2 linked regions of the Zea mays genome follow. The protein of the gene in region 2 interacts with the protein of the main gene of each other region in a pairwise test. Links are inferred from orthologs where the notes say so. Each region holds a gene or a part of one and is shown on either strand. Other genes may lie near its edges. The genes, in order: Putative septum site-determining protein minD homolog, chloroplastic-like; chitin synthase homolog 1.

Region 1 (3,824 bases), on a different chromosome or scaffold from region 2:
AAGAAGTTCATCAGCGATCCACCAGAGGTGCCTCCCCCACTGCCACCCATGCTTCACGGGGCTGTGACTCCAAAACCGGAGCCGCTGTATGCTTCTGCTTGGCGCGCGGTGTCCGCCAGGTGCTCATCCACTGGAAGGGTCAGTCCGCTGCGTCTGCAACTTGGGAGGATGTGGCTGATTTCTGTACCAGTGTTCTTAAGGCGTCGCCTAGGCGACGCCTAGGCGTCCAGGCGCCCGGGCAAAACTGGCCGCCTTGCTCGCCATACCCGCCTAGGCGTCGCCTAGGCGCCGCCTAGGCGCTAAGGCGGTTGGCTGGTGCACTTGCTCGCCTAGGCGCCGTAAGAACACTGTCCGTGACAAGTTTCCCCATTTTCAGCTCGAGGACGAGCTGGACGTCGAGGGGGGGGGGGAGAGATGTCATGTATGGGCAAACGTATAGGCGCCGTCGTGACATCACGAGTGCGGCAGAGCGGGCTGCTCACGCCACACAGGAAGGTGCCACCGTTAGTGGCCAGATTTAGAAATAAAAGATTAGTTTCCTTTCCATACCTTAAATCTAGGAGTGATTAGTTGAGATTAGTTTCCTTTCCATGCCTTAAATCTAGGAGTGATTCGACGTTGTTAGGTGCTGAGGCGCTTGACATGCAACTAATCGATTTTAGCGTTTCGGTGTCTTTAGTATTAGCATATATAGAAAATTATAAAGAAATGTAATCAACGACTTACATTCGACTAGTCACGACTAGTCAGTAACTACACGACTCCGACTCGAAAACATTGATATATATATATATATATATATATATATATATATATATATATATATATATATATATATATATATATATATATATATATATATATATATATATAGGGTAGGTATAACGGGAGCCCTGGGCTTCCAATAGTTAAAGGAAGCCCAGGCCGATCACCCCTGCAAACTGGTTCAACCAGCGCGCCCAAACAGGCTGTCGGGTGCGCCACCTGCCCCACGTCTGTTAGCGCAAAAAAGGAATGCATGCATGAGTCAAACACGATCCAATGCATGCGCATAAATTTAGGAAAGATATGTGCGGCAGTTTCTGTTTTTAAAATCCTTTATTTCCTCCATAAATTTAGGATCGCTACAACAGCCATGCAGCTAGACGCGTAAGGACCATTTTATGATATATACTGAGACTAAATATGCTACACTGTGTTAATAATTATGCAATTCGATATACTGCGTAAAAATCTGTTACCAACTGCATGCACACGAATTTATGATAAAAATAATGTGCAATGAAAGAAAATGAATTACACGCATAGAAACAAAAAATCGTATTTAATGTTTTATTTCCTTCATAAATATAAGATCCCTCCAACAGCCATGCAGCTAAAACACATTAAATCTAGTTTATGATATATACTGATACAAATTATACTACATGGTGTAGGTATTTATGCAATTCGTTACACTGCGTAAAAAATCTGGCATGTTGTTCACTGGTGGACGCACCTCCGGGTTGGAGCGTAATAACCTTAAGTTTTGAGCATAAAATCCCTCAATTATAAGCGTATATACCGAGCCAATATGAGAGGTTGATAGCTCTAGTAGGTTGTTATTACGATCCTATTTTTATGGCAGATCCGAAAAACATGGCAGTCGCATGCATGCGGTTATACAGATCCTAAAATTATGGCAAAATGCATGCATGAGTCAATCACGTTCCCTTGCATGCGCGTAAATTTAGGAAAGATATGTGTGGCGGTTTCTATTTTAAATGCTTTATTTCCTCCATAAATTTAGGATCGCTGAAACAGACATGCAACTAAAACTCGTAATGACCATTTTATGCTATATACTGATACTAAATATGCTACACTGTGTAGATAATTATGCGATTCGGTATACTGCGTAAAAATCTGCAACAGGCTGCATGCACACGAATTTATGATGGAAAGAATATGCAATGAAAGGAAATGAATTGCATGCATAGAAACAAAAAATCGCATTTAATATTTTATTTCCTTCATAAATATAGGATCCCTCCAACAGTCATGCAACTAAACGCATCAGAACTAGTTTATGATGTATACTGAAACAAATTATACTACACGGTTTAGGTATTTATGCAATTCCTTACACTGCGTAAAAAATCTGGCATGTTCACTGGTGGACGCATCTCCGGGTGGAGCGTAAAAACCTTAAGTTTTGAGCATAAAATCCCTTAATTATAAGCGTAAATACCGAGTCAATTAGAGGTTGATAGCTTTAGTAGGTTGTTATTACGATCCTATTTTTATGACAGATCCGAAAAACATGGCAGCCGCATGCATGCGGTTTCTATTTTTATACAGATCCAAAAATTATGGCAAAATCGTGGGAGTTTCCATTGCATGCGCGCAAATTAAGAACAACATAAATCAAGGAATTGTCTTTCAAATGTGCATGCAGTAAACTGATATACGAACTCTGTGTTAAAGCATAAAAACATACAGTTTTTAGCGTAAATAATACATGTGGTAGGCATAAAACACAATAAACGAAAAGAAAAATGCGCCGGATCAGAGGATGTCACGCGCGATCATCGCTGCGCGCATCTCGCCCCTTCCGTGACATCGCTCGCTCGAACATCGCGCCTCATGCGTCGCCGTCGCTACTCGCACGTCGACGGGCGTCGCTTGCTCGCCGGCCTTGGAAGTGCCGCCTCCTCGGGGCTTCGGGGACGCCGCCGCTTGCCTGCACAAGAGCCTCGCTGCGGATCGAGGAACCTCCGCCACCGCGCGTCGAGGTAATGGAGTTGCGGCCACCGGGCTGGGAATCGCCGCCACCACACAAGGGCGCTGCCGCCGCTCGCCCTCTGGATCGGGGGCCGCCACCGCTGGCCTGGAAACCGCCGCCATCGCATAAGGGCGCTGCCGCCGCCGCTCGCCCTCTGGATCGGGGGCCGCCACCGTCGGCCTGGGAACCGCCGCCACCGCCGGCCTGGCAACCGCCGCTAATGAATCGAGATGGGGCGTAAAAACTGATCCCTAGCACTACGGATTTTCTTTTATAGACGTCTGGACCTGGTTCGGCTCGACCGGATTGCACTGTCTGGCCTGGGCTTCCAATAACTAAAGGAAGCCCAGGGCTCCTAATATACAATATATATATATATATATATATATCCCCTTGGACCTTGGATTCATTGGGATGCTGATGCCAAATATTATAGTTGTCCCACATTTGTTCCTGTTGCTTGCTACAGACGAAAGGATTCCGAGCATATGATGCACTTGGCATGATTTCCATGACTATAGTCCATACTTATAATGGGATTATCAGATTTCTCAAAATTGGAGCCATTAGCGTGTAATAATATTTGTGTTAATGTGATTTGGATCCATTTACCAAGGTTTTAGTTCTGACCCATGGCATAGAAACTGTGTTAACTACAGCTGCTTGATGTTTTGTTTTGCAGGTGTTGATGCTGGGTTTGTCACTGCCATTGCACCCGCAGAAGAGGCGGTGCTCGTTACCACTCCCGACATTACGGCTCTCCGCGATGCTGACCGTGTCGCGGGACTGCTGGAGTGCGATGGCATCAAAGACATCAAGATCGTTGTCAACCGAGTGCGGCCAGACCTGGTGAAGGGGGAGGACATGATGTCAGCGCTGGACGTGCAGGAAATGCTCGGGTTGCCTTTACTAGGCGTGGTGCCAGAGGACACGGAGGTGATCCGGAGTACGAATAGGGGCGTGCCGCTGGTGCTGAATGACCCGCCCACGCCTGCTGGCCTTGCTCTGGAGCAGGCTACTTGGAGATTGGTGGAAAGAGATGCGATGACGGCGGTCATGG
Region 2 (4,315 bases):
CGCTCCCTGAGGATTCTCCAGTGTCCTTGAAGTCGACACCAACAATTTTCCCTCTGTACTGCTCTTCAGATTCCTGGTACTCTGGCTTCACACGGCGCACAGGAACTGACACAGAGTACACGGTGCCAAGGCCAGCATCAGTTGAGATATCCACTTGGACGTTATCCCTTGATTCTATCTCAACAAACTCAGACAGTGCCTCAATGATGTTCTCCACGATCTTTTTCTTTGCCTCATCACTGACTTCACACCTGTCGGAGAACAGGATCATCTTAAGCCTCTGTTTTGCGATGTTTGCATTGGAGGTATCCTTTGTGGTTGGTGCAGAAAACATTATCTTCCACGCTAATTTCAGACGGTCAAGAAAACCCATGTTAACAACATTGTGAAGGAAGCCTTCCACATCTTGAGTTATAGGAGAAAAATCCTTCCTAGAAAGAGCATAGTTCTGGGTGGAGCTGCGAGAACACCTTTGATGTTGAACACATAGCCGGCTGTGATTGCTAGATGCTCCATGAGGAAAAGTACAAAAATGGCCCTGTAGCATGACACAACTAAAATGGTATGAATTCCAGTATATTCATTGCAAACATGCTAAGAGCACATCATGGTACAAAAGCTAGTGCAATCCCAGTAAGATCCAACTGCCAATCCTAAACTCACCATACTGAGACTTGCAGTAATTTGAATAACGTCAGATCCGTATACTGTAACAGTTCAGCGAGTGGCACAACCACACTAGCTTAGTTGTTTAAATACACACACATGTATGTTGAGTTATTGCATGAGTAAGCATACATTCAGGCCTTCTGTAAACTGAAGAAATATGCACATGAAACAAACCACATTTGATCGAATGAATGAACAGAAAGACACCTAATAGAGCAATGATAACATAACTACAGGGCGGAAACAAACCACATTTGATCGAGTGAATGCATCATATATGCACAAAGTTAGCCTCAGTTCTCTTATAAATCTTAATGACAAAGCCAGTCTACTCTCATGTTGCAATTTCTCATTTCAGCACTGAAAACAAACGATGCTTAACTTGAGGTTTATATCAAAGAAATTGAAAGGAACATGATACACAATATTATACATACAGATTTTCCTCTTTTCTAACTACCTATCCAACAACATACCCTCTAGATCTACCATGTAGTACTGTACTATGAAAAACATGTCAATGAAAGAAAAGAAGGAATCATCCGGTTTGGATAGTGTCAGTAATACTGATATTTGCAAAGTATGAAACGAGATAACCATACTATAGGAGATGGAGGCAGAACAAAGGGAAGGAAAATAAAGAACAGCCCAAAAATCGGCCAGTACCAAGCAAACCTAGACATGGAAATCAGACAGTCTGGTATTATTAAGCAAGGCTAATATTGCTAGCACTATAACAAACACACCGACCTCACAAGCTTAGGGAACCCATGTGAAATATAGGAATCAAACCACTGCCAATTTAAAATTACAGGTACTTTGTCAGACTAAACTCTATATTTTTTTACAATACATTAGCAATTAGCCTACACATCACATATACTGATAACTGATTGCTATGGAGAAGACCAATACGAAAGGAGACAAAGTGGTTGACTTTGAGTTTGGGCAGAACCATCAAATGGGATACAAAAGCTGCACATATAAGCCAACACATAAAAACATGACGAGAAGATCCTTTCACCTAAAAATCAAATACAGGGCACTTATTCATGGTAGGACAATCAGTACACGACACCTCTTTTCTATGACATGATGCTTACATATCAACCCAGATATTTAGAATCCAAAAAACGTACATCCCAAGAATGTTGGGGCAAGCAAAATAATAAAATGTCAAATCTAGGAAAAATGCAGATCTAAAAGTACAGGTAATCCTTAGGCCATGTTTGGTCGGGCTTCTTTGCAAACAACTAATCTAAGAAGACAGAATCTGGAGCAGCCACATTTAGGTGGCTTCACCAACCTAGTACAAAAAAAAAGAGCTTCTCCCCTCCGGTAGGGTTTGGCAAACCTTTTTTTGAACGTAATGGTCCGCCTCTCAATTAAGAATGGAATTAACCCTGTTTTAAGGAAAAACCGGGCCCAAAATCTAACAAATACAAGAAGGTAGCCCAACGTGGAGCAAACACTGAACACACGAAGGGCTAACCCACCAACACGACGCGTAAGAGCACACATAACTGCCATGAGTCATCGCTTCCAAGCTAGATTGAAAAGCAGCCGGTGGCTCCGACTTCCCATGGCAAACCCCGGACGAACCAAACGAAAACAGACAGACGGCTTGAAGTGAAAGGTCGCAACAGGTCATTATTTTGCTTGCCTTAAACATTTATTATTTTGCTTGGGGCTTCAACATTTGGGGCTAATAAACGTTTGGGGCAAGCAAACTCAAAGAGGGCCTTAACGTTTTCCAGAAATGCAAGTGTTCCATGGGCCTACCTCACACCAATGTGGGCACTAAATCTCTATTTTGTCTTGTCAAATTAATTCCTCCATTCCCAGTTCCTAAGATGCACTTGAACATTTAGCCTACCAATCAACATAAAAATGCACTTCGCACATTCGTCAGACTGACACGAGGCAGCCTCACCCACCCATCGGACCTTCAGAGGCATGCACAAACGCCGAAGAGTAACAACCGCACGGCGGACTTCCAGCAGCCTACCGGAGCATCTCCCCGCAGAAAACTGGGCCTCCCGAGCCAATCGAAAGCCGCATACTCGTACTAATTCCACCTCAAACACGCAGGATAAACTAAATAAATGCTAGGGTTTATGGGACGGGGAGCAGCCGAGCAGGAGTCCGAACCTTGGGACCAGCGACAAGACGGAACGGCGGGCGGAGCGAGGACGCGGACGGCGCGATGAGCGCACCGGAGTCGCCGCCGACGCAGCCGCCGAAGATGGACATCGCCATGATGGATGCGACTGTGCTAGGGTTTTGCGCACCAGCCCCTTTTCCCCTTTTTCTTTTCGCTTTGTCCTCAGTGTTGGAGGCTGGTAGACTGGACTCTCGTTGGAATTTGGAAGGAAGTTGGAACGGCTGCATTGGTGCCACCAGCTCGCTTGTGCGATTTGGCTGTGTAAGGTTGGGTGTCTTAAATTGTGTCTCAGAGTGTGTCTAGTGGATGAATGTAAAAAACTCAAGACATGTATCTTGACGAAGACACAGTGTTTTAGCTCTATGTTTGAGACAGGAGACTAGCTGATTGATCACTTTAATTTATTGAATGTTCTGATTGTTACAATGAATATGGTAAGACACATGTTTTAGACATGACCACTGTATTATGTTGTGTTTTATTTGTGCCTTATACTTGGAGTACCGTGCAGCAGTGTCTAGGTTGTACATGCTCTAACCCAAGTTTAGTCACCTTACTTTAGTCACTATTTATTTTTTTAAGACTAAAAGTGACTAAAGTCTAGTCATTAAATTTTAATCACCTCAAACTAAAGAGAGTCTAACTTCTATAAGAATCACTTTAGCCAAAACTGTCTAAAATCAATGTGAATATATAATCGACCGACTTGTTGCGATAGTAGTAAACTGTCACTTTCAAAATCATAAACTCTATAGACTTTTTTATCTTCCTCCAAACGTAATTTTCACGATATTCAGAATCTCTCCACAGTTAGATTGGTCAGGCCAACTACTTGCGTGTTTGGTTTAAGGATTTAAAAATTTCAATGTTTTTCAAAAAAAAATCAAATCTATTTACAGCCCATTTGTTTTTTTGGACCGAAACACTTATCAATAACTTTGATTCGATCTTATTTTCACTCTCCATTATTTTAGCATGCCACTAATTCTTACCCTAACACCAAAAAAGTTGTAGAATCCTTTTCACTTCCAACTCATGAGCAACCGTGGTGTCGTTGTCGATGACGACAACAGGGTGGGACAAGGCATCCATGGGGCACCAAACGTGTGGTCGCTTGTTAGTGGCGGTGGCAATCAAAGAGGTGTCGGCTCGAGAAGGCCGAGTAGTGGGCTCCGTTTGGCAGTGGCATGCGAAGGCGGGCGGCAGTCACCATCGCGGTGGACATTCCAGCAACACCACCACCCCCGCTAGCCAGCCATCACCACTGACAACCACTAGCGTCGAGGGAAGAGCCAACGAAGTCTTCTAGAGACAAAGCTTTGGTAGGAAGGGAGGTATATCTCTAGGTTGGCGAGCGGTGGAGACCGAAGAGGGGAGCTTGAGCTTGCTTTGGGTCGCGGTCTTTCTGCTTCGGGGAGTGCTGGATTTGTCCTGTAGTGACAACGTTGTGTTGTGTTGTGTTGTGTCGAGTGCATGTTCGAG

What was found.
Region 1: the proteins of chitin synthase homolog 1 (region 2) and Putative septum site-determining protein minD homolog, chloroplastic-like interact in binary tests that used the Arabidopsis thaliana proteins (3 or more experiments, as listed by UniProt). The link is inferred for Zea mays from reciprocal best matches to the Arabidopsis thaliana genes MINE1 and MIND.

Annotation. Positions count from the first base shown.
Region 1 is NC_050101.1:65,402,003-65,405,826, forward strand, and holds part of Putative septum site-determining protein minD homolog, chloroplastic-like, read left to right. Parts: intron 1-3,446; coding exon 3,447-3,824. UniProt on the Arabidopsis thaliana protein: Together with ARC3 and MCD1, regulates FtsZ ring positioning in chloroplasts in an ARC6-dependent manner. Calcium-dependent ATPase required for the correct placement of the plastid division site. Inhibits FtsZ filament and ring formation in the plastid.
Region 2 is NC_050105.1:18,841,228-18,845,542, reverse strand, and holds the start of chitin synthase homolog 1, read right to left. Parts: upstream 2,982-4,315; 5' UTR 2,929-2,981; coding exon 2,821-2,928; intron 539-2,820; coding exon 1-538. UniProt on the Arabidopsis thaliana protein: Acts as a topological specificity factor during plastid division and specify plastid constriction sites (such as the Z-ring) in a MCD1-dependent manner. Especially involved in epidermal plastids division in a FTSZ1-dependent manner.